6 linked regions of the Callithrix jacchus genome follow. The protein of the gene in region 2 interacts with the protein of the main gene of each other region in a biochemical or structural test. Links are inferred from orthologs where the notes say so. Each region holds a gene or a part of one and is shown on either strand. Other genes may lie near its edges. The genes, in order: SERTAD1, CDKN2A, CDK4, CCND2, TRIP12 and E2F1.

Region 1 (3,980 bases), on a different chromosome or scaffold from region 2:
TGTGTGTGTGAGACAGAGTCTCACTCTGTCATCCAGACTAGAGTGCAGTGGCACAATCTTGGCTAACTGCTACCTCTGCCTCCTGGGTTCAAGTGGTTCTCCTGCCTTATACTCCTGAGTAGCTGGGATTACAGGCACATGCCACCACGACCAGCTGATTTATTTTGTAGTTTTAGTAGAGACGGGGTTTCGCCATGTTGCCCAGGCGGGTTTCCAACTCTTGACCTCAGGTGATCCATCTGCCTTGGCCTCCCAAAGTGCTGGAATTATAGGCGTGAGCCACCACACTCAGCCCCAAACCATTTTTTATCTTTTCTTGACATTGAATTTCTGGCAAAATAGCCCAGTCGTGCTGTAGAGTGTCCCACATTCTGGATTTGTCTGACTGTGTTTAATTTGTTCCTCTCTATTGCCAGTAAACTGGAGGCTGAATCTAAAGGCCTGGGGAGATTCTGCTTATGCAGTGAACTGGGAGACTCCACAGGGTATGTCCTAATTCTTATTAATGTACTTCCTAATCCTAATGCATTATGGTAGGTGGCACCCAGTGTCCCGCCATTGGTAATGCAGAATTTCATTACATGATTAAGATTATGAGGGCTACATCATAAAAGGATTTCATCCTTTGCAGTTAGCAAATAACCTTTGAGATGATGCTTTAGAGCCTGTCAGGACCCTATCTCTAGACTGTGCTCTTATAGATACCATCCTATTTAAACTTTGCTGTGAAGAGGTAGGCAAGACTATCCTTATTTAACTTCGTGTAGCTTGGAGAGGTCGATCAGTTTTCCAAGGTCACAAATCTACTGAGTGGTGAATCCGGAGTCGGAATTTGAACCCGGGCATATCTGTAGTGTAGACCCCTGTCGGGGCGTGATGTGTAAGAACCTTAATTGCCATATTTGGCAGGTGCATGGGTAGTTGTGAGGGGCTCGTACTTTGAGAGGCAAAAGGCCCACCCGCCACCATTCCCCAGGGTAAAAAGCCACCTCTTTTCACCCTTCACTAGAGCAGCTGCCCGGGCATGCGCCCTGAAGCCAACCTCCCCTCCTTCAGAATCCGCCCCCTACAGGCTCCGCCCATCACCGTCCAGAGCCAATCCCTGGGGCGAAGGGAGGGGCAGCCACGAGAGTGGGCGTCGCTAAGGTTAGTTAGGAGTCTGGAGTCGTGCGCTCGAGTCAGAACTGCGTCTTGCGATCCAGGTGCCGGTTGCTGGAGGAGAGTGAGCAAGCGATGCTGCTGCCGCCGTTTCCTGATTGGCTGTGGATGGCTACCTCTTTGTTCTGATTGGCCGCTAGTGAGCAGGGTATGTAAATGAAGGGGCCTGGGGAGAGAAGGGGTGCCAGCGGCCGGGTCCTTTACGAAGTTCGATCCCTGGGTCCGACAGGTGCCCGTCTGGGCTGACCGGGATCGAGACACACGGGCCTCTATGTGCCGTCTGCCCCGGCCGGGCCGGGTGAATCACGCCGCAGCCCGAGAAGGGGGCGGAGGCGCCGGCTCCCTGGCTCCGGCTGCGTGACTCACCCGCCCCCGCCGCCGCCGCCGCTTCGGGAGGAGCCGCCTCCACTGCCGGAAGCGAGCGGAGGCCGGGCGCACAGAACAGCCCGCCGGGGGTCCCGGCTCTCACGGCCCCGGGAGGCCGGCAGGAATCACAGCCGGGAAGCGGGGCAGTAGGAGTCCTGGGGTCAGAGGGGCCAGAATCCCCGGGGGAAAGCCGGCCTGGGCACCGCTAGGGGGCGCCGGGACCCGGGGGCGGAGTCGGGGGTCGGGGGCGGAATTCCTGCGGTTCCTCACTCCTGGGACCGCGGGGAAGGGGACGGAGACCCAGTTTTGACTAGTGTGATGGTCCACTCTTAAGATCTTGCTAGGCAGGGTCCCGGGAACTGGACCCTGGACCCTTACTGGCCCAAAAAGGTAGGTAGCGCCAGGGGTCCAAAACTCCAACCCCACCCCCAGCCACTCCAAGAAGAGAGTGGGTCCTCAAACTTATCTCAGTGACTGACCCCAGTGCCCAGCACGATTTCCCGGCAAGCCCCGTCGATTCTGCCTCCCAAATAAATCGTGACTCGACCGACTTCCTTCCATACACTACCAGCTCCTCCTCCAGGCCATCACCATCGTCCGTCCCAACCGAGTACAGCTTACCAGTGGTTCTCAGATTCCCCCTCTTCCTCCCCTCCCCCCAGTCTTCCTCAAAGCAGCCATGGGGGGACGGAAACCCAGTCAGCTCACAACACCACTCCCCTCCCTGCTCAAATTCCTTTAATGACCGCCCACCACGCTCATGATAAAATACAGACTCCCTACTTCTGCATATGTGGCTTTCTGTGACCTGGCTGGTGCCCGTTTCCTCTGCTGCTCCCCAATCTGGTCTCCTACCATGTCACTCTCTGTATGCCAGGCATGCTAGTCTCTTTCAGTTCAAGCCCATCCAGCCTCTGGGTCTTTGGTTGCCTTTTTTTGTTGATCCCTCCTCCCAGAATCCTTTTCCCAGGGGGTCTCCCTTGGCTGACTTCTCTGGCCTGAGGGCTCCATTCAAATGTCACCTCCTCTCGGGAGCCTCCTCTGATCATCTGAAAGGTCTCCAGGACCTTTTAGTGTCTTCCTGTAATTCTCTGTACATTTCCTGTGTTTGCTTATTTATTTACTGTTTGAAATATATAGTAGACAATAAATATTAAACTATGTGAAACTAGTTTAGTATTTATAATTTATACATAATTACTTATAATAAACTATGTGAAACAGCTGCTTTTGTAGGGGAAAGGTGAATATTGGCCATTCCACATGGTTCACTGAAGACATTATAATGTTATCATTAAGAGTATTTATTGGTGGTCTGGGCGAGGTGGCTCACACCTGTAATCCCAGCACTTTGGGAGGCCTAGACAGGCAGATCGTGAGCGCGGTCAGGAGTTTGAGACCAGCCTGGTCAACATAGTAAAACCCTGTCTCTACTAAAAATACAAAAATTAGTGGGCGTGGTGGCGGGTGCCTGTAATCCCAGCTACTGGGGAGGCTGAGGCAAGAGAATTGTTTGAACTTGGGAGGCAGAGATTGCAGCGAGCCGAGATCTCGCCATTGTACTCCAGCCTGGACAACAAGAGAGAAAAATTGTCTCTCAAAAAAAAAAAAAAAAAAGGTGTGGCAGCTCAGTTATAATACCAGCACTTTGGGAGGCTGAGGCGGGAGGATGGCTTGAGGCAAGGAGTTTGACACCCTGAGCAACATAGTGAGACCCTGTCTCTACAAAAAATAAAAGGAGAAAGAAAAAAGAGTACTTATTGACTGACGCAGGAGGATTGCTTCAGGCTAGGAGTTTGAGACCAGCCTGGGCAACAAAGTGAGACACCATCTCTATTTTTTTAAATAAAGAAGTCCATAAATATACTTTATAAAATATAAAATACAAAATGTAAGAAGTCTATAGGCTGGGTGCGGTGGCTCACGCCTGTAATACGAGCACTTTGGAGGTCGAGGTAGGCAGATCACTTGAGGTCAGGAGTTTGAGACCAGCCTGGGCAACATGGTGAAACCCCATCTCTACCAAAAATACAAAAATTAGCCGGGCGTGGTGGCTTATAGCTACTCGGGAGGCTGAGGAACGAGAATCACTTAAACCCGTGAGGCAGAGGTTGCAGTGAGCTGAGATCATGCCATTGCACTCCAGCCTGGGCAACAGAGCGAGACTCCATCTCTTAAAAAAAAAAAAAGTCTATAAATATACATCTACAATTAAATAAAAATTGCCTATATCTTTAAAGTTCCCTAACAAAAGCTAGGCACAGAGACGCTAAGTGACTTGCCAAAGATCCTACCTGCAGCAGCTGTCAGATCCAGGCTTTGAACTTGACATTTGTTTTCCATAACTTGACTTTAACTCCCTGCTCTCTGCAGATGCTGAGCAAGGGTCTGAAGCGGAAGCGGGAGGAGGAGGAAGAGAAGGAATCTCTGGCAGTCGACGCCTTGTGGCTGGATCC
Region 2 (3,977 bases):
CACCATTCTACTCTCTACTTCGAAATATTAAATTGTTTTATATTTCACGAATAAGTAAGAACATGTGATATTTGTCTTTCCGTGTTTGGCTTATTTCATTTAGCACAATGCTCTCCAATTCCAAAACTTCAATTCCTTCAAATATAAAACAAGATGGCTAGTCTTAATTAGTCCTAAAATTCCTTTCTGTCGTAGGCTGAATAATGCCCTGTCCCCACAAATATCTATGCCCCAATCCTCAACAGCTGTTAATATATTACCTTAGGTGGCAAAAGAGGCTTTGTAGATGTGATTGAATTAATGGTCATGAGGGCGATTATCTGGAATTTTCAGTGTAAGCCCAACATAACCCCAAGTGTTTTTATTAGAGGGTCACAGTCAGAGAGAAAATATTAGAATCAGAGGCCAGAGAGAAAATACAGGGGCCATGATCTAAGGAATTTGATGGTCACCAGAAGCTGGAAGAGACAAGAAAACAGATTCTGCCTTAGAGTTTCCAAAAGGAATGCAGCACTGTGGACCCATTTTTGACCTCTGATCTCTAGAACTATAAAATAATAATTTTGTGTTTGCTTTACTACTACATTTGTGATAATTTGTAACAGTAGCAATAGGAAACTTAAACACTTTCCAGGTTTATAATTTGAGAGTTCATTAAATAAGAGATGGTCACTTCTTTGGTTCCTAAATCATCTTGAAAACAAAGCCATTTCCAAAGAGGAATTTTAAAACACTGTCTGCAGTCATAGCAACCTTAAAATTTGAGTATTATGTGGTAGATGATAGTAGAAGCAGATAATTTATTTTGAGATAACTGTTATTTGTTATATCAGCTTGAGGATGGTGGTGTTATAAAGAAGAATTATTTATTTTTAGGCACATTTTGTATTAAACACAAATTGTATAATTTGCCTAAATCAAAGAATTATACTAAATTATACTGTAGTTACTAAATCCTGTCCTAAGAAAGTGAAACTGAGTTATTTTTCAAGGAGACAAAGAGAAAGTACAAGAAACCAAATTGCAGCTACAAAAAGACAAAATATTGCAGTAAATTTATTGTTTTGTGTGTTCAATGAAGTCCTTCATTTCGGTCATAAAACTAGTCTTAATGGTTTTTCTTATATTTCATAGTATGAAAAATCTAAAAAGTAACCCATATGTAATTATTTAAATCATGATAGAAATCCAAAGCAAAAAGAAAATGAATCAATTGAATGAAAATGTGTAGGATGCTTAAACACATTTAATAAGAAATTAATATGAATTTAGTACTTAAAAATGTTATACAAATAAGTTTCTATATTAAGCATCAATGTAGTTAGGATTCTAAGCCAACGTCATTTCCCCTTTTCTACATGTTCTTCTCCCTTCCCCATTAAAAATTGTCAAAACTATCCACTTTTCTTTTCCCTTTTTGCTTATAAACAAATAAGGTCTCTTCTACAATATTTTAGGGCTACAATGCCAAACTTCCAGGTCCAAGCTGCTGTTACAATTTTAGAGATGCAAAGATACCCAGGCATTAATTACTTTTAAATCATCCCCTAACCCCTCACAAAACTGGAGTGGGGAGAGGAGAAACACTACTTTTCAAAAATGAGGAAATGAAAAATCTCTAAAACTCTATCACAAATAAATTATATCAAGAAAGCTAAAGATAGCAAAAACAGCAAAAATGTCAGCAGATAATCCCAAAATGGTAACTACATATTACATCTGGTGTGATCACATGAATGTGATTCATTATATGCATCTATCTATCTGTATTTCCTAAGTTCCTACAGCAAACATATATTTTTGCCCTACTCACTTAAAAATAAACACAACATGTAGTTGCTTCGGAATAATTTCTTTCTTTTCTTTTATTTATCGGACTTTCACCCTTTCACCCAGGCTGAAGTGCAGTGGTGTGATCTCGGCTTACTGCAACCTCCGCTCCTGCCTCAGCCTCCCGAGTAGCTGGGATTACAGGCGTTTACGACTATGTCTGGCTGATTTTTGTATTTTTAGTAGAGACGGCGTTTCACCATGTTGGCCAGGCTGGTCTCCAACTCCAGACCTTGTGGTCCGGCCGCCTCGGCCACCTAAAGTGCAGGGATTACAGGCGTGAGCCACCGCAGCCGGCCGCTTCTGAATAATTTCGATCATAAATTTATATTCGATATTTATTCCAACATACACGATAGATTATTACTGATAATACCTCCTAGCAAGAAAGATAAGCTCCATCCAGGATTCTGTGAATTCAGGGCTAAATAGTTCCAGTACATCCTACATTTCTTTAAGACTCGCGTTTTATCCCAAACGTTTGTAAATTTTGTATCTGATAAAGAGCATACCTCCATCTAATACAAATATTTCCCCCCTCTTCAGATCCTTACAGCATTCCAGAGATCTGCACGCGCGGGCCTCCTCAATCCTTCCGTGGCTTCCCAGGGCCCCCAGAAGACCAGGTCTTTGATTACAGACCTCTTCTGAAAACTGCGCAGGAAGCCTCTCTTTTTCCAGAATAAAAGCGCTACTTGATTCCCCTGCAAATCTCGTCCTCCAGAGTCGCCTATCACCCCCTGCTCCCGCTACAGGCCCTGTACCCACCTGGATCGGCCTCCGACCGTAACTATTCGGTGCGTTGGGCGGCGCCCCCGCCTCGAGCAGCGCCCGCACCTCCTCTACCCGACCCCGGGCCGCGGCCGTGGCCAGCCAGTCCGCGGAAGGTTCCATGCTGCTCCCGGCTGCTCGCTCCCCGCTCTCCCTCTCTCCGCTCCTGCAGCGCTCTCGCGGCCCGCACTGCAGTCTCGAGACCAGCCCGCCCCTCCTCTTTCTTCCACCCGGGAGGGCGGGCGGAAGAGCCCCCACCCCCAACACCCGGGACGCTGTCCCTCGACTCCTCCGGCGGAACGGCTATATCTTTCCAGGCGGGGGGGCGCCGTTCGCTAGTCCTCCGAGGAGGTGCTATTCACTCGCTGCGAAGGTGGCACCCCTGAAGCCGCCCCAAGGTGGGTCTGCCCCGGGGGCACCAGCCGGAAGCGGCCCTCGCCCGCCGGAGCCCAGAGGCGGCGAGGAAAGGCTGGACTCCTCCCCACCTGCTCCTACACCGCCCTTCGGCAGCCCTGCTCCCGGCCTTGCTACCCCGCCTTCCCAGCAACCGCGCGTTTTCGTCTCAGAGCAAAAAGAAATTTCGCACCCCCCACACCCCTCCCCCTGCCCACGTTTCCTTCCTCCACGGTACAACCTTCCTAACTGCCAAATTGAATCAGGGTATTTGGAGTCACAGGGAAAGTATGGCTTCTTCTTTTACTCATAAGAAAAAGCAAAACTATTCTTTTCTGTTTGTGAGAGCCCAGCGAGGATCAAAATCACCTGTGCGACTGGGAAGCGTCCCCCTACCCTCTCAACCCTTGATTTTCGAGAGCGCCGGGTTCACTAAGTCAGAAATCCTAGTTCAAAGGATTCCTTTTGGAGAGTCGGCCTGCTCTCTCCTTCCCTGCCCCTTCCCCTCCTATGTGCAAAACGGCTGTCTAGGGCGTGGATTTCTCACACATGTGCATTGCCTGGTATAAGGGCAGACTCTGAAAAAATGAGGTTTGCTTAATACGACAGGAGAGAATTGTGCCACGGACAGGGGAGAATTGTACCAATGGGGAGGGAGTACTGGAAGGACGGATTCCATTCTGAGTAAGTCATAATTCCTAGACCAGAAGAAGTGCTCAGTGTTCTAGAGGCAGAGTTGCACAGTGATTCAAAGATCAGCTTTACACACTGTTCTGTCTCCTTCACACGCACATTTCCCCTTCCCACTGAAAATACCTTGCATTCTTTTTTTTAGTTATAAAGGGGTAGGGGAATATGAGTGCCCCCTGCTTTACAGGAGTTGTTGTGAATTTAAATGAATTGATGTATTAATACATATGAACCTTAAGAACAGTGCCGCATACCCTAAGCTAATAATACCTGTTATCTCTTGAATTGTCCAT
Region 3 (4,214 bases), on a different chromosome or scaffold from region 2:
TTCAGAGTTTCCACAGAAGAGAGGCCTAAGGTAAGAAGAGACATAAGGTAGCTGTCATTTTTAAAGTATCATAGTCGAATGGCTGTTACTACTTAGTAGCCCAAAATAAAAAGTATAGCAAATAAAGACCAGTAATTCCAGCACTTTGGGATGCTAAGGTGAGACAACTCTTTGAGCCCAGGAGTTCTAGATAAGCCTGGACAAGCAAGACCTTGTCTCTTAAAAAAAAAAAAAAAAAAAAATGTCAGGTGCGGTGGCTCACGCCTGTAATCCCAGCACTTTGGGAGGCAGAGGTGGGCAGATCATGAGGCCAAGAGATGGAGACCATCCTGGCCTACATGGTGAAACCCCGTCTCTACTAAAAATATAAAAATTAGCTTGGCACGGTGGTGTACACCTGTAGTCCCAGCTCCTCGGGAGGCTGAGGCAGAAGAATTGCTTGAACCCGGGAGGTAGAGGTTGCCGTGAGCCAAGATCGCACCACTGCACTCCAGCCTAGCAACAGAGCCACACTCTGTCTTGAAAAAAAAAAAAAAAAGCCATTCATGGTGGCGTGCGCCTGTAGTAGTCCCAGCTACTCAGGAGGCTGAGACAGGAGGACTGCTTGAGCCCAAGAGGTAGAGGGTACAGTGAGCTGTAATTGTGCCACTGCACTCCAGCCTGGGTGATAGAGTGAGACCTTGTCTCAAATAAATAAATAAATAAAGGAGAATAAAGGGATATGAAGTTCCCAATTCCAGAACATTTTAGTGCTTCCCGTTATGGCCAAGGTAGTCAGTAGAACTCAAGTAAACGAATGGGGCCAGGTGCAGTAGGTCATGCTTGTAATTCCAGCACTTTGAGAGGTAGAGTTGGGAGGACTGCTTGAGTGTAAGAGTTCAAGACCAGCCTGGGCAATATACTGAGACCCCATCTCTACAAAAATATTAAAAAATAGCCAGGCATGGAGGTGTGCGCCTATAGTGTGAGCTACTCGGGAGGCTGAGATGGGAGGATCACTTGAGCCCAGGAGGTTGAAGCTTCAGTGAACTGTGATCATGTCATTGCAATCTAGCCTGGACAACAGAGAAGACCCTGTCTCCAACAAAAAAAAAAAAAAAAAAGAAGAAGAATGGAAGGGAGGTTTGGATGTGGTTTATGAACAAGAGATTTGGGGAATTCAAGGTGGTCCAGGGTATGTGGGTCCCATACTTTCGACGAAACATCTCAGCAAAGATACAGCCAACACTCCACATGTCCACAGGTGTTGCATATGTGGACTGCAGAAGAACTTCGGGAGCTCGGTACCAGAGTGTAACCACCTAAAGGGGATAGGAAAAATGGATGGGGATCCCATGCGTTACCATGAAATACAACTGACTTAACTGAACACATGAAGCACATGACTTCTCAATTGTTATGGGCCACCACTCTCCTACTCCCAACCAGAACCCATATTGGTACCATCTTTCTACTGACCACAGGTGTAAGTGCCATCTGGTAGCTGTAGATTCTGGCCAGGCCAAAGTCAGCCAGCTTGACTGTTCCACCACTTGTCACCAGAATGTTCTCTGGCTTCAGATCTCGGTGAACGATGCAATTGGCATGAAGAAAATCTAGGCCTCTTAGAAACTGGCGCATCAGATCCTAGTTCAGAAGGGGGAGGAACAGATGCACTGGAAACTAGGCACCATCCCTGAAATCCCAGGAGGTTCTACTACAAAGGTCCCAATTCACCTCTCAATGCCTACCAACCCCACTCACCTTGATGGTCTCTGCAGGCAAGCCTGGTGGGGGTGCCTTGTCCAGATATGTCCTTAGATCTTGGTCTACATGCTCAAACACCAGGGTTACCTTGATCTCTCGGTCAGTTCGCGATGTGGCACAGACATCCATCAGCCTGGCCAGAGTAAATGCTCACTTGTCAATCCCCTTTAACCCACATGACCTCTCATTATTTCCTCTGGGTCCCCACTTCTCACCAGATCACCACACCCCACCTATAGACTGTCTTTTCCCTTTACTGCCCACTCCCAACCCTCCACCGCCTTCTCACCGGACAACGTTGGGATGCTCAAAAGCCTCCAGTCGCCTCAGTAAGGCCACTTCACGAACTGTGCTGACGGGAAGGCCTCCTCCAGCTCCTCCATTGGGGACTCTCACACTCTTGAGGGCCACAAAGTGGCCACTGTGGGGATCACGGGCCTTGTACACTGTCCCATAGGCACCGACACCAATTTCAGCCACTGGCTCATATCGAGAGGTAGCCATTCTCAGATCAAGGGAGACCCTACAATCACAAAGACTCCTATCACTAAAAGTCCCTTACAGAGTTAGGATGGTATGAGCCTGCAGCAACAAAGGGACTCCCAAGAAAAAGCACAAAGAACAACACCAGCATCCCATCCCCCGCTCCCAATCTTCCTTGGGCCGGCCCCGGAGATAACACAATGACTCAATACCAACCCCTGCAGCCACGTGAGGCCCTACAATAAAAAATGCCTTTTCTTTTGGGACAATCGCGCCCCGTACAAAGATCACACATGACACACGCCTTGCATCGAAGATCTTACACCTCAGTCCCTAAAATTATACCTTCCCACGACCACAAAGGCCCCATTTCCCGCCCTTGAACGACCCTTTCATAACCAGCTCTCGAAACGCACGCGTGGAAAGCTGGGATGGGGCTGCACTTACCTCACGCCAGGCCGGGGTGCTGCGGGGGCGGCCCGTTATCGGGGCCCCGGAGCCGGTTCCTGCGGCCCCATACACCCGGGCTCTGTCCCGGGCAGCTGGACGCAGAGGGCCCGACCATAGACACAGGCCGCAGGCTAGAGAGGCCCCCTCACCCCCACCCTCACCATGTGACCAGATGCCAAAGAGGCGCGCGGAAACTGGGAGGGCGGGGCGAACGCCGGACGTTCTGGGCACGTGACCGCCAGCCAAGCGCTGTGGGGGCGGCCAGGAGCCGCTTTGACGGGGAGGAGAGCTAAGAGCGTAAGAGGGGCGGAGGGGAGATACAGCCATGTGATCTGTTGCTATCACACGTGACCGCTTGACATTGCTCGGAGGAGCAGAGGTGTGGTTACGCGAAGGGCACGTGACTAGCTGCCACAACCCCGCTGCGGGTGGGGGGGCGCGGTAGGGGGCAAGAGAGGGTGGAGCCCAAGGCGGTGCCATGGCAACCCAGGCCACCCAGAGCCCAACTCCGGGCTGAAAGATTGTTTCACTGGTCTTTCAGCCTGACTACATTGGGGAGAGGGTGGGAGTTGGGGGACCAGAGGTGGTACTATCACCTTTTTGCTTCACCGTGAGAAAACATACTCTCATTTGTGCCATTGTTTCACTCATTCATTCTACAAAATTGTACTGAGTGCTTGTTGCCAGTGTGTATGTGGGTTTTTATTTTGTTTTGTTTTTGGTGTCTGTCACTGGCTCTTTAAAGTAGTGGTACGACTATCTATAAAGATGTAGCCAACAATGGGGTCTTATAAAATAGGTAGTAGACAATGCCCACTGGAGGGCAAAACTTCAATTAGGGGATGGACAGAAGGCAGATTAATACAGTAAGACAACAGGAACAGTGGCAAAGTAATGCCCTCTAGTTCCCAACTTCCAAACCTTCCTGGAAGTGTTAATGCAAAGACTTGAGGCCATCTGGCAGAGAAGTTATTGATGAGCAGGAGACAGGAATACTTGACCTTTATGTTTTTTGTTTTTGTTTTTTCAGTAGGAAGATTCTATGATTATGTGAGATTAAGATATATGTGTGTATATATATACTTCTAGGTATATATATATGTATGTATGTTATATTACTTATTACATGTCGTAGACAGGCGCATGTGCAAGAAGTTACCACCACACCCCCTGCACCCTCCAGACAACCACAGTAAATGGGAATGACGTGCTTTTCTGCAAGCTTGTGACTGTTCATTTGGAGTCACTGTGCTTCCCTTTTTCCCTAGTGCAGCTTTCTTAGCACTTAGCACCATCCAGAACCAGCACTTAGCACCATTTTTCCCAAATGGCCTCTGCCCACAGACACCTAGGTTGACAGAGGTAGATTTCTCCTACCTTTTTTGTTTTATTGGCTCCAGGTTCTTTATCTCCCAGCCCTTTAGGGGTATGGGAGTAAAGGAGGAAAGTGGTTAGTGTCTCATTTGTGAGAATTGACAATTTGTCTAAAATATATATAAATATATATTTTTTGTCTAAAAATATATATAAATGTA
Region 4 (4,047 bases), on a different chromosome or scaffold from region 2:
TATTATCACTGTTAGTTAAAATATTCCATGCTTCCCCTACACACATGCACACACATTGCGAATGAGTCTCACCAACCCAAATCTCCATGAGGATCTTATTCACAGATGTAGCCTCAGTGCTGGGCACGGAGCCTGGGCACATAGTAGGAACACCAAAAAAAAGACAGCGGTTTCCTACTAAAAGAGCCATCGCCTGTAAGTGTGAACATTCTATTGGTGGGATCATTTTTGGATCCCAAGAATTTGCTCTGGAAGTGGTGAGTAGAAGATATATTGCTGGCCAGGGGAAAGCGGGAATCGCAGAAAGGAAGGGAGGAAGGGGCCCGTCATTACCAGCAGCTCCTGAGGCTTGATGGAGTTGTCAGTGTAAATGCACAGCTTCTCCGCAGTCAGCGGGCTGGTCTCTTTGAGCTTGGAGGCCAGGAACATGCAGACAGCACCCAGGAGTTGCAGATGGGACTTTGGAGTCGGGACCCCAGCCAAGAAACGGTCCAGGTAATTCATGGCCAGAGGGAAGACCTCTTCTTCGCACTTCTGTTCCTCACAGACCTACGATGGGAGTGAGAAAGGGTTGGGGGGCGGGGGTGGAGAGCACAGCATCAGCAAAAGAGAAAAAGAATAAAAATGCATAATGTATGGAAACAAAAAATTTTAATTTTTTGTGGGGGGGGGAGGGGAGTAGAATGTGTGATAAGAATAAAGAACAAAGATGAGGAAACTGGGGTGCATTAGAATAGCCCATTCTGGCTTTGGCATTCCCAGGGAGCCTATAGAAGGGGGTGAACTACAGCTCCAAAACGGGGAGTCGGGGAAGTGCGCAGCAGCCGCGGCAGCTCCGCGACGCTCCCTTTGGCTACTCCTTCGCGCACTCTAAACTCACTCACTCTTTTTTGGATTTCGTCATCTTTTCAAAAAATCAATAAAAATATTCTGGAGGCTCCGAGGGTCCACTTCTTGGTCTCATCGGGATCCTCAGATCCTCCTCTATCATTCCCGACAATTGAAAAAAATGTCCGGGGGGGTCCCTGCGGCCCAGGGGCCGCTATTGGGGGGGCGGGTGGGGAGAGGTGGGGAAGAGAGGGGGAGGGAGGAGAGGAGGAAGAGCGCCGCAGCCTCGGCAGCTGGAGTCGGAGCAGGGGGGGGACAGTTTCAAAAAATAATTAAAAATCGAGGAAATATCCTAGAAAAGCCCTTTTGGCGTGAAAACCCCAAAGAGGAATCAGGCTTCCCGAAACGTAAGTTTCGGGTGCCAGAAAGGTCTGTATTCCGACCCCTGGGGCTTTAGATCCCGGGAGGAAACTTAAAGGGGTGAGCGCCGCGGCGGGAGTGTCCGGCTGCGGCCCACAAGGACAGAAACTAGGGAACGTGGTGACGAGCTGGGGGACAGACGGGAGCAGAGAGCCCTTTAAGGAAGATGGGGGCTCCGACTTCTCCTTTAGGAGTGACCCGATATACCCCCTACACACACACCCTCCCCCCCTTCCTACCCCACCCAAATCTCCGCACAGAGGAAGCTGGAAAGCCAAACTGTAAGTAACCTTCGCGAGGTGGGGGGGTGGGGGAGAGGGCACGATTCAAAGCGGGGTGGCCGGGATAATGGGGTGCAAGGGTAAGCTGGCGACGTTTCCCAGCCTTTCCAACGGGAGTTTGCAAAGCAACATGGCGAAACCACGGCAGGTCCAGAGCTGTGCATACGTGGGCACACGGCTCGCTGGGCAAAGACTTGGAGTGAGGGGCAAGACGTGGTTCTTTAGGTTCCCCAGAAACACACGTTTCTTCCCTGTAAGTTTCGGGGCTCCAGAATTCCCCGTTTCTCTCCTTCTGCCTCCTCCCTCCACCTCCCCCCTGAAGTGCCAGCGCGGAGTTGCGACCACATGCAGGGACCAGAGGCCAAGACGAATGTGCTTTGGCCTTTTGAGGGGGCTGCCTTTCTACTCGGGGTCCCAGTTTCTGGCCCCGACTCCCTTCCTGGCCGCAGCGAAAGCAGCCGCGGCGGCTTCGCAAAACACAGGTCTCGGGGCGGGGGTGGAGGGGTGGGGGTGGGAAGAAGAGGCAGCCACATGCAGGCACACGCGCGCGGGATGCTCCCCCACCCCCGCCCAGGACAGCCTCATTTCTTCCCCAGATTTTCCTCCCGCCTCTCCTTCCCGAGTTAATCTGGAGAGGAAGAGTAATAAAGCCACGCGTCTCGCCAAAAGGCGCGCGGTAACCTCCCGCACAGGAGCCGGGAGGCCGGCGCGGGGACTGCCCTCTTCCAGGTTTAGGGCTCCTGCCGGGGGGCCGAGAGTCACGGAGCGGTCCTGGCTCCTAGAGAGCGCCGCCCGCAGACCTACCTCCAGCATCCAGGTGGCCACCATCCTGCGCATGTAGGGCTGGATGTCTTTTTGCACGCACTTGAAGTAGGAGCATTGCGGAAGGTAGCGCTCCTCGATGGTGAGCAGGTTCTGCAGGACGCGGTCGTCCTGTAGCAGGTTGCGGTCCCGCACGGCCCTGCGGATCGGGTCCACCTCGCAGCACAGTAGCTCCATGGCCAGCCCGGCGACCCTTCTCTCCCCTACTTTCTGCGGACTGGAAATGTGTTTTTTGTTTTTTGGAAGGGGAAGGGAAAGGGTTCCCCCGATCTCCTTCCTTTGGCTGAATAAGGGGGTTCGGGGAAGAAGTGAGCGCAGAGAGAGAAGGTGGAGCAGAAGAGGGGCGAGGATTGGGCGGTGGGCAAGCAGAGCCTCGGGGTCTGCCTCACTCGCACCGGTCCTCCCCTTCAAACTGGTCTTGCTCTCCCCAGCTCGCTCTTCTCCGCTCTGAGGCGGTGACGCAAGCTGGCTAGGCAGTTAGCTCTCCTCCCTCTCCCCACGCTCCCCGCTCTGGTTCCTCCTCCCCTTCCCTCCCCTCCTGGCTCGCCCCTCCTCCTTTCAATCTCTCCCTCCCTCCCTCCTTTTCCCCTCTCGCTATTAAGGAGAACAGCAGCTGCCCCGACCTAACTTCAAACGCCGTCTCCCGCCCCCCCAACCCTTCTCCCTCCTCCAGCCCTGCGTGCCAGGGGCCCCGGACAGGGCAACCCACAACAAACTACTGATTCCTATTTCTGCCCTCTAATTTCGCTCATTCTGTGGGTGTAGCGCGCCAAAATACGACCCTCCAACTTTGGCTCCTTCAAAACGGATCTTAATTCTCCTGCCCTTGTATTCAAGATCCAGGCATGTAGGGTAGATTACTTGAAGATGGGGTGAGCTCAGACAATTTAGAAATAGATCCCTTGAGTGAAAAATAAGAAAGGGGGTGATTTTAGAAAATAGTAACCTCGCATACCCAGAGATAAAGGTCACGTCCCTGAAGTTCATGTTCCTGATAACTTCGAAGCTGTTTCAAAAGCCCCGATTAAAGGGAACAGAACGTCGTCCCTTCTGCCGCCCCCCCTCCCAGCAGTGTGTGGAGAGGAAGAAGAGGGAGGGGTGGGTGTTAGGAAGGAAGGGGGATGCTTCTCTGGAGGGACAGAGTGTGCTTCACGAGCAGAAACCGTCGTGTTCCTGGGGGCCCTAGGAGCGCCCTGGGGCGAAGCGGTATAGCGCCCAGGGCCGCTGCAGGCCGGGGGCACGGTTCCCAGCGGTTCCTCCGCGGCCAGCGGCCACGCAAGAAAAACCCGCTTCCTCGCCCCTGCATCTGCTGACAAGCCGCCCGAGGTGTCTGCGCCGAGCGTGGCCACACCGATACAGCTTTCTAGGAAATGGCCCGGGAGGGGGAGGGGGGCGAGAGAGGGATTAGGTCTGGCTCCCTCTCGCTTCCCCTGCGCAAACACCACCACCCCTTCCTTTCCCTGGAGGCATAAGGCCACCACCCTCGGTCCTTCGCCCGCATCCTCGCCGACCCCTCCGGGTTCGCGCCTCTCTCGCCAGGCTTTCTCCCTGGGAGCGGATTGCGGTGAAGTCGCCGCCAGCACCGTCGGCCCTGACACGTGCTCTAACGCATCCTCCAGTCAAGGCTGTCTTTACAGGAGATTGATCTGCTGGCGCTTCCACACCTCCTTCCTCCGGTCACCCCCAACCCCCACCC
Region 5 (3,770 bases), on a different chromosome or scaffold from region 2:
AGACTTTCTAACCTTCATAAAAGAAACAAATGAGCTTTTTTTGTCTCATTCCAGAGGCTGTTGCTACTGGAATTGCCATGTAAACAGTCCTAGAGTGTCACCTGGCAAAAAGCCAGTAATACTCTCAGCTATATTAAAACTAAGCTATAAGAAAAGTCTACCTAGTTACAAAGACTGAATTCTATTCAATATATTTCAATCCAATGAATTTTAAATTAGATCTTAGCTGGAGAGAACATGGGACAACAAAAGCCCATGGCTAACGAAAATTTGAGAACTGAGTGTTGCATAGAAAAAAAACAAAACAAAACTGTGAGCTGCACAGACAATAATGAATCAGGGAGAGGAAATCCGAGGAAAGTGAAAAGCACATAGAGCTAGTCTACTGAACTACATTTGTCAAATACATGTGAGCTTTAATTTCTGTACTTATGTACAAGAGTTGTCTTTGGAGGAAACCAAACTGCAGACTTAGCTAGATGGATACACACAGCCCAGAATTAAACTGCACAGCGACATTTATTGTTCCAGCCTGGAAAAACATCCCTTTTTTAAATTTCACACAGCAAAGCATGTTAAAAACTTCACTCATCAAATAAATGATAATTTAAACAATAACTTGCTAAAGAAACCTCATCACAACAACGTTTTAGGGCCTGATCACTTTAAGTCCATGGGGCCATTAATGAATATCAACCAAGTGTCTCTTTATAATCTGCAAGCCGTTTTTCCTACAACAAGAAGGCGTAACATGTTTCCTTGACTCAGGTGATACATAAGAAAAGAAATCATGATTTGTTTCTTTTGCTGTAACAGGCAGACACTGCATTTCTTGTTGTGATCAGGAAAGATGGAACGACTGCTGCCCTTCTCTTGCTGCTATCAACAGTTTTTCACGCATTATCTCAATGCTTGAATAGTCCGGCAACTTAAGATAGTTCACACAAGTCATTACAGAGGGCAAGAAGTCATCTGGGTTTTCTGTTGATTCAAACGTCTTTCGGACAATTGTCAAAGGTGGATTCAAACTCCGGAATCCTGATTAAGAGAAAAAGAAAGATGAAGAATTTAAGTTTTTAAAAAGCACTAACTGCTGTACCATACAATATTACACACAAGGTATTCTTTCTTGCTTGGTAACTACACATTCAATATACATGAAGTATAAGGAACACCCTTTATTTGTCATTTTAAAAATCAATGTATAACATGGAGGCAACTGTTCTTTATGCCTTTTGATTTTTAAAATGGAATACCCACAGTGGTTCATGCCTGTAATCCCAGCATTTTCGGAGGCTGCGGTGGGCCAATAGCTTGAGTTTGAGACCAGCCTGGACAATATGGCAAAACCCTATCTCTACAAAAATCCAAAAATTAGCCAGCCATGGTGCTGTGTGCCTAGAGTCTCAGCTATGCAGGAGGCTGGAGCAGGAGGATCACTTGAGCCCAGGAGGCAGAGGTTGCAGTGAGCCAAGATGGTGCCACTGCACTCCAGCCTGGGCCACAGAGTGAGATCCTGTCTCAAAACAAAACAAAACAAAAAGAACAGAATACCAATTTAACTTACATTAAAATTCAATCTGAAAAAACAGATTTTAGAATCCATTCTCGTCTAAGTCAACTAAGAGTTTATAATGTACAAATGGCCTAGAATTTTATCTAACCAGCATTACACGTACATGAGGAATCCTACTTCAATATGTTTAAGACATTCCCTATGAATTGCCCTGCCAGTGGTCTCAATGTACTGTAAGAAACATGATGACACTGGAATAACTAAGAGGCACTGCAAGTGATATAAAGAATCTCTTGCTTATGGTACCGAAGTTTCACACCCACAAACACACCAATAGGGGGAATAAATGCTAACATCAACATCATACCCACCTCCAACAGGCAATCTTGGGCTACCAGTCACAAACTGGAGAAACAACCTCTGCTGCTCATTATCAAAACTACTGAGAATCTCAAACAAAAACTTCACAGCCCGACTATAACAGAAATAAATATACCGAAATTATTTCATCAGGTTAGAATAGTTTTAATCACATCGCATCACATCACTGACTGTAAACTTCTCAAAATTAGATGAACACTTTTAAATTACAGGTATGCTTCCATTATAATGTACAGATTTGTTTGTTATGACTAGAATTCAAATGGAATGATTATAGTTGTAATATGTGAGGCTTGATCTGGTACTATACAGATAGTTCTGCTTTAATATATGTAATAATGTGGAACAGAATTGAATCTGTCTTCACCAACCCCTAATATTTTCACAGAAATACTTGAGAAAGTTAACTCTTGAATCTCAATTTGTCATCTTGAGAGAAATAAGGCCAAAAGAGAAGTAAGTATGCATCCATTAACAGGTAGACATTATTTTAAAATGAACCACTCCAACTTTTGTTGTTTACATATGTGTGCGTGTGCACACACCCCCCTCTCCGCATTCTTTAAGATCAATAGAGAAACTGGAGAACCCCAATACTTACCTGTCATGAGTATAACCGTGATCAGGCCTGCAGCATTCCATCAGTGTCTTTGCATCCCAAGTGTCTGCTTTACTGCCACAAAGGAGCTGATCCAGCTGTGAGTTTAAAGGTAAAAAGAATTACTAAAGAAACATCTGCTGACCTGAGTAAAAATAAAGGTCTACGTGTACCACACAAGAATATCAGTCTCAGTACTAAAACCTTCTGCTTGGGCCCTTTCTTTCTAAAAAAAAATTGAGAGATTCCATTTCCTTTTTAGCTGTACACTATTAAGTACCCTGCCCATCTGCAAAGACTTGGTTCCAGACAAGCTGTTCCTCTTAAACCAAAAACACCTGATACTCTTGATTTCAGTTTTCCTTTCTTCTCATTACTTTAGGTGTTTTAAATTGATAATCTGCTTTTAATCAGGGAGATTTTATAAATCCTGGCTTTCAGAAACACAAAAGTATATAACAGATCCCAAAGGAGAATATTGAGCTGGAGAAAGAAGTGGGAGAAACAAGCTGAACTAAGACACAGCAAATGGGTAGGTCTTTATGCTTTGTAAAGAGAAGCACGTCTATGTTACACGGTTGTTTGTATGGGGACCAACCTAAATATTACCAAATAAATATTAGAAAGCAATACATGTTTTCATGTCCTTAGAAAATCTAACATCAGTTTCAAATTAAAACCATGTCTTTCTCTGGTTAACTGCTGATTTGCAGAAGACTGTATACTTTGAGAAAATCCAATTTGAGGCCAATGAAATTTAATACCTATTATATAATCCTCACTGTCCAGTATCATACATATATTCATATACATATACATATATATATTTGTTTTGTTTTTAAAGACAAAGCCTTGCTCTGTTGCCCAGGCTGGAGTATAGTGTGCAATCATAGCTAAGTACAGTCTTGGTCTCCTAAATTCAAGTGATCCTTCAATCCCAGCCTTCCAAGTAGCTGAGACTACAGGTGCATACCACCACACCCAGCTAATTATTTGTATTCTTATTTTAGACCTGGTCTCACTATGTTGCTCACACTAATCTTAAAATTCCTGAGCTCAAGTGATCTTCCCACCTCCATCTCCCAAAAGTGCTGGGATTACAGGCTGAGCCACTGTGCCCAGCCTATTTAATTTTCATTACTCTATAACAGGGGTCATCCCAATTTTACCAATGAAACAGTCCTATCAGATACAGTAACTTGAATAAGGTTACATAGCAAATGGTGAGGACAATGATTCAATTCCAGGTGACGAGCAGTGCCTATAAGTATCAGG
Region 6 (4,018 bases), on a different chromosome or scaffold from region 2:
GCAAGACCCTGTCTCTACTAAAAATACAAAAATTAGCTGGGTGTGGTGGTATGTGCCTGCAATCCCACCTACTTGGGAGGCCAAGGCACAGAATATCTTGAACTCCGGAGGTGGAGGTTGCAGTGAGCCCTGATCACACCACTGTACTCCAGCCTGCATAACAGAATGAGACTCTGTCTCCAAAAAAAAAAAACAGTTAAGTTTTCTACAGTAAACATGTATTATGTTTAAAATATTTGAGTTTGTGGAAGTGGACAGGCAGGACCAAGAGAAATGGCTGAATTGCACAGAGCCTGGTATACAGTGTTCAACGAATGCCTGCTGGTACAGAAGCTAAGTCTGTAGCTTATTCCAGGGACTGTGCCAGACAAATGCCAGTGCAGAGAGGCCAAAAGCCGAACCTGTGGACCTTCTGGACTTCAGCTCCAGTCTCCTGCCCCTAAGTACAGAAAACACCTCCTGGCCCTGAAGGACTCTGAGGGTGGGGCTCCTTTTCTCTGAGCCTAGTGCCTCCTAGGCATTCACTAACTCAACAACTGTTGAATGAATGGAATGCCCGGGCCAATAAGCCTGCCCCTGACAGGTAGAGTGGAGGGCACTCTTCTTTGCCCCGTTTCTCCTTCTGATCCTAGAATCCATAATCCTGTTCAGTTCCTTGAGGACAAGACCCTCAGGTTCTGTTAGGTTTCCACAGACCTGAGCCTGCTATATGCTTGTCACACAGCTGAATGGAGGATGCTTGCCCAGGTCCCAAGCACTACCCACAGGGACAAACCCCCGGAGTACAGGAGACAAGCCACCTGGCCCACCCCTCCCACCCACTCATTAAGATGAAGGGCCCCCAAAAGCCCTTCCTGCCCTTTCTTCAGCCTCTATCAGCATCCCTAGAAAGCAATGCATCCCAGAGGTCAACCTCACAGGAAATACAGATTCAACCCCCCGCTCAATAGCAGAATGACATGGGAAGATTCTAGTATTTCTAGGCCTCAGCTTCCCAATCTGTAAAAAGGGATTGCTGCTGATGGGGTTAAATGAGTTAATTAGGTAAAGCTCTTGGCAGAGCCTGGCACATAAGACATCCTCAAAACAATGGTGGCTGCTATTGTTATTATTATTAGCATCGTGGTGATTCCGGAAGGCAGCACTGGGCATGAGGCCAAGGGGGTGGGGGAGCCCCTTTAGATGCCTCAGGGACCAGCTGCTACCCTCACCCCCATCAGCAGTTAGGCAGCTTCTACCTCCTAGTCCTAAGCCCTGCCTCACCCCTCCCACTTGCTCCAAGCTCCCTGCTGAGACCCCATCCTGCTTGACCAGCCCCTGCCTGCACATCAGAGCCCCACCTTCACCCATAGGCTGCGCCAGTCAAACTGGTCTCCACACCCTGTACTGCAGCCCACAGGTCCCAGCTCCAGGCTTCTACGCCTCCAATCCCTTCTCCCACTGTAATTCAGCCACCTCTTCTGGGCACCACCCCCCCCCCACCCCCCGCCCCGTCTGAACTGGTCTTGAGCTCAGCACTCAGGGACGGCTTTATTAAAGGATCTCCCTGGGACATTTTCTCTCCTGGCACTGGGGGCCTCCTCTCCAGCTCCCAGAGGCCCAGCCCACCTAGTTCTTCTACAGAGGCTCAGGGGTCTGTCTGTCTGATTAATGAGGTTCCATGGCAACCAGGGCCTGGGAGGGTGGAGGGTGGCAGATGGAAGGACAGGCAGAGGGAGGAGATCAGCAGCTGGTCCAGCTGCCCCGCCCCTGCAGAGAAGGCCTCCCAGCCAGGAGGGCTGTCCCCAGAGGCCTGGCCGGCCAGTCCTGCACCTGGCAGTCAGCATCGAGGCAGGAAGGAGGGTCTCCTCAGTGGCTCACCAACGGTTAAGCCCCAGGACCTTCCTCGCCCCGCCTTCACTTCCCCTAGCAGCTGTGTTCACTACCGAGATGCAAATTCTGATCTGAAGCCAGCAGGCCGCAGTTCAAATCCCAGCCCCGCCACCTGCAGCCGTGTGACCAGGGGCAAGTCACTGTCCCTCTCTGGGCCTCAGTCCTCCTCCGTCAGCTGGGCACAGTGACAACACGGCTTACAGCAGGGTTGTGAGTTTCAGCTGGCTTGAAGTCGGCCGAGGCCTGGCGTGCAATAAACGCCAGTTGAATACACGTGGGCCATTATTATCATTGAGTCCGACGCTGGGGAGGCTTTAGTGAGGAAGCTCAGGCCCAGAGCAGAGGAGCAAACAGGGACCGGCCCGAGGTCACCCCGCACCCCAGGGCGGAGCCTGGAGGCACAAGCCAGGCTCTGCACCGCCCAGCCTGGGTGCCTCAGTCCACCCCTCCCCCGCCCCCTGCCGCCTCCAGGCCAAACACAGCACCCGCCCAGGTCTGCTCAGGGGGCACAGGCAGTGCTGCCGGCGCGGCGTCCCTGGGGTCCGTACCGGCGGGCGGCCGAGCGCGGGGCGCGGCGCGCTGGGTGTGGGCCGGGGCGCCTGCGGAGTGGCGAAGAGCAGCAGGTCGGGGTCGCACGGGCCGGCGGCGGGCGCCGCGGGGCCAGCTGGGGCCGGCGGGACGCTGGCGTCCTGTGCGGCGGAGATGATGACGATCTGCGAGGAGTCGAGCAGCCGCAGCGCGCCGGCCCCGAGCAGGGCCTCCAGCGCCGGCGCGCATGGGCCGCCCGCAGGGGCCCCGGCCAAAGCCATGGCGCTCACGGCCCGCGCGGCCCGGGTGACAGGCGGCGGCGGCGGCGCGGGCCCATGGCGGCAGGCCCCAGCAAGGGCTCCATCCCGCTCCGCCCCCGGCCGCCGCTGCCTGCAAAGTCCCGGCCACTTTTACGCGCCAAATCCTTTTTGCCGCGAAAGAGCCACGAGCCGCCGAGCGCCGCCACGATTGGCTGCCCGGGCCGTGACGAAGTCGACGGCAGCGGCTCCTATTGGCTATAGCGCGCCGGACCGGCGGCGACGGGAGGGATGGGGCGGCGGCGCGGGGCGGCGCGGGGCGGCGCGGCCAATGGCGGGGCGGGGCGCGCGCAGGCTTTGTCCAGACAGTGCCAGGCGCGGTCGGACTCCCCGCCCCCAGGCCGAGCGTCCCCTGCCGGAGGCGTGGGGACACTGGAACATGGCCCCGCCCCGACGCTCCCGCATCCCACTGACCTTTCTATAGTGCAGGTTCAGGACAGAGCCTCTGTTCACGCGACCCTCAACCTGTAGCCCCCACAACCTCAGCCCACATCTCCAGAAACTGCCCCCTCTTCTTTTCGGGATCATCAGTTCCACAGCCCAGCCATCAGCCACCTCTCCTATCCTCAACTTACCACACCCATGACATTATCCTAACCCTGCACCCAGCCCTATCCCACTCACCCAAAGCCCAAGCTGAAGAGCGGTACCAGGAAATGAGGAGGGACGACCCGCCAGATATTAGCCTGGGGCTTTCCTGCAAGTCCCATTTTAGCCAAAATCTACAATGGCCAAGTAAAGCGTCTGCTTGAACTAATTCATTCCCTCACTCATTCAACAAACGTCAGGAGAGCCTGCTCTGTGCCCATCCTTAACTCTGTGCCCCCATCCTTAATTCGTGGCCCTAAGGAGCTCACAGTCTACTGGATAGGGGACAGAGAGGTAACAGACGTTTACAATAGGATGAAGCATTGGTCCAGAGCGGTGGCTCATGCCTGGAATCACTATAATCAACGGGCAGGGTGGATCTCTTGAGCCCAGGAGTTTGAGACCAGCCTGAGCAACATGGTGAAACCCTTCTCTACAAAAAATACAAAAATTAGCCAGGCGTGGTGGTGTCCATCTGTAGTTCCAGCTACTTGGGAGGCTGAGGTGGGAGGATTGCTTGAGTCCGAGAAATGAAGGCTGCAGTGAGCTATGATCATGCCACTGCACTCCAGCCTGGGCAACAGAGCAAGATCCTGTCTCTAAAACAAAACAAAAACAAAACACATCACTTCTTCTAGGGACCCCTCCCAAGGATCTACTCACTTCCTCTATTGCCCACTGCTGCCTCTGTTCCAACACTGACCACACATTTC

Evidence for each region.
Region 1: the proteins of CDKN2A (region 2) and SERTAD1 form a complex in vitro, tested with the Homo sapiens proteins (2 studies listed by BioGRID). The link is inferred for Callithrix jacchus from reciprocal best matches to the Homo sapiens genes CDKN2A and SERTAD1.
Region 3: the proteins of CDKN2A (region 2) and CDK4 form a complex in vitro, tested with the Homo sapiens proteins (12 studies listed by BioGRID and IntAct, with this or other methods). The link is inferred for Callithrix jacchus from reciprocal best matches to the Homo sapiens genes CDKN2A and CDK4.
Region 4: the proteins of CDKN2A (region 2) and CCND2 form a complex in vitro, tested with the Homo sapiens proteins (2 studies listed by BioGRID). The link is inferred for Callithrix jacchus from reciprocal best matches to the Homo sapiens genes CDKN2A and CCND2.
Region 5: the proteins of CDKN2A (region 2) and TRIP12 form a complex in vitro, tested with the Homo sapiens proteins (2 studies listed by BioGRID). The link is inferred for Callithrix jacchus from reciprocal best matches to the Homo sapiens genes CDKN2A and TRIP12.
Region 6: the proteins of CDKN2A (region 2) and E2F1 form a complex in vitro, tested with the Homo sapiens proteins (2 studies listed by BioGRID). The link is inferred for Callithrix jacchus from reciprocal best matches to the Homo sapiens genes CDKN2A and E2F1.

What each region holds. Positions count from the first base shown.
Region 1 is NC_133523.1:35,982,860-35,986,839, reverse strand, and holds the start of SERTAD1 (SERTA domain-containing protein 1), read left to right. Parts: upstream 1-1,180; 5' UTR 1,181-1,306; intron 1,307-3,897; coding exon 3,898-3,980. UniProt on the Homo sapiens protein: Acts at E2F-responsive promoters as coregulator to integrate signals provided by PHD- and/or bromodomain-containing transcription factors. Stimulates E2F1/TFDP1 transcriptional activity.
Region 2 is NC_133502.1:128,971,937-128,975,913, forward strand, and holds the start of CDKN2A (cyclin-dependent kinase inhibitor 2A), read right to left. Parts: upstream 2,801-3,977; 5' UTR 2,725-2,800; coding exon 2,599-2,724; intron 1-2,598. UniProt on the Homo sapiens protein: Acts as a negative regulator of the proliferation of normal cells by interacting strongly with CDK4 and CDK6. This inhibits their ability to interact with cyclins D and to phosphorylate the retinoblastoma protein.
Region 3 is NC_133510.1:61,953,310-61,957,523, reverse strand, and holds the start of CDK4 (cyclin-dependent kinase 4), read right to left. Parts: upstream 2,801-4,214; 5' UTR 2,677-2,800; intron 2,270-2,676; 5' UTR 2,251-2,269; coding exon 2,036-2,250; intron 1,880-2,035; coding exon 1,744-1,879; intron 1,627-1,743; coding exon 1,459-1,626; intron 1,302-1,458; coding exon 1,192-1,301; intron 26-1,191; coding exon 1-25.
Region 4 is NC_133510.1:17,668,491-17,672,537, reverse strand, and holds the start of CCND2 (G1/S-specific cyclin-D2), read right to left. Parts: upstream 2,801-4,047; 5' UTR 2,529-2,800; coding exon 2,334-2,528; intron 1,530-2,333; exon of another isoform or gene 1,093-1,529; intron 550-1,092; coding exon 334-549; intron 1-333. UniProt on the Homo sapiens protein: Regulatory component of the cyclin D2-CDK4 (DC) complex that phosphorylates and inhibits members of the retinoblastoma (RB) protein family including RB1 and regulates the cell-cycle during G(1)/S transition.
Region 5 is NC_133507.1:151,303,880-151,307,649, forward strand, and holds the end of TRIP12 (E3 ubiquitin-protein ligase TRIP12), read right to left. Parts: intron 2,594-3,770; coding exon 2,499-2,593; intron 1,992-2,498; coding exon 1,888-1,991; intron 1,039-1,887; coding exon 842-1,038; 3' UTR 501-841; downstream 1-500. UniProt on the Homo sapiens protein: E3 ubiquitin-protein ligase involved in ubiquitin fusion degradation (UFD) pathway and regulation of DNA repair.
Region 6 is NC_133506.1:5,612,713-5,616,730, reverse strand, and holds the start of E2F1 (transcription factor E2F1), read right to left. Parts: upstream 2,801-4,018; 5' UTR 2,682-2,800; coding exon 2,421-2,681; intron 1-2,420. UniProt on the Homo sapiens protein: Transcription activator that binds DNA cooperatively with DP proteins through the E2 recognition site, 5'-TTTC[CG]CGC-3' found in the promoter region of a number of genes whose products are involved in cell cycle regulation or in DNA replication.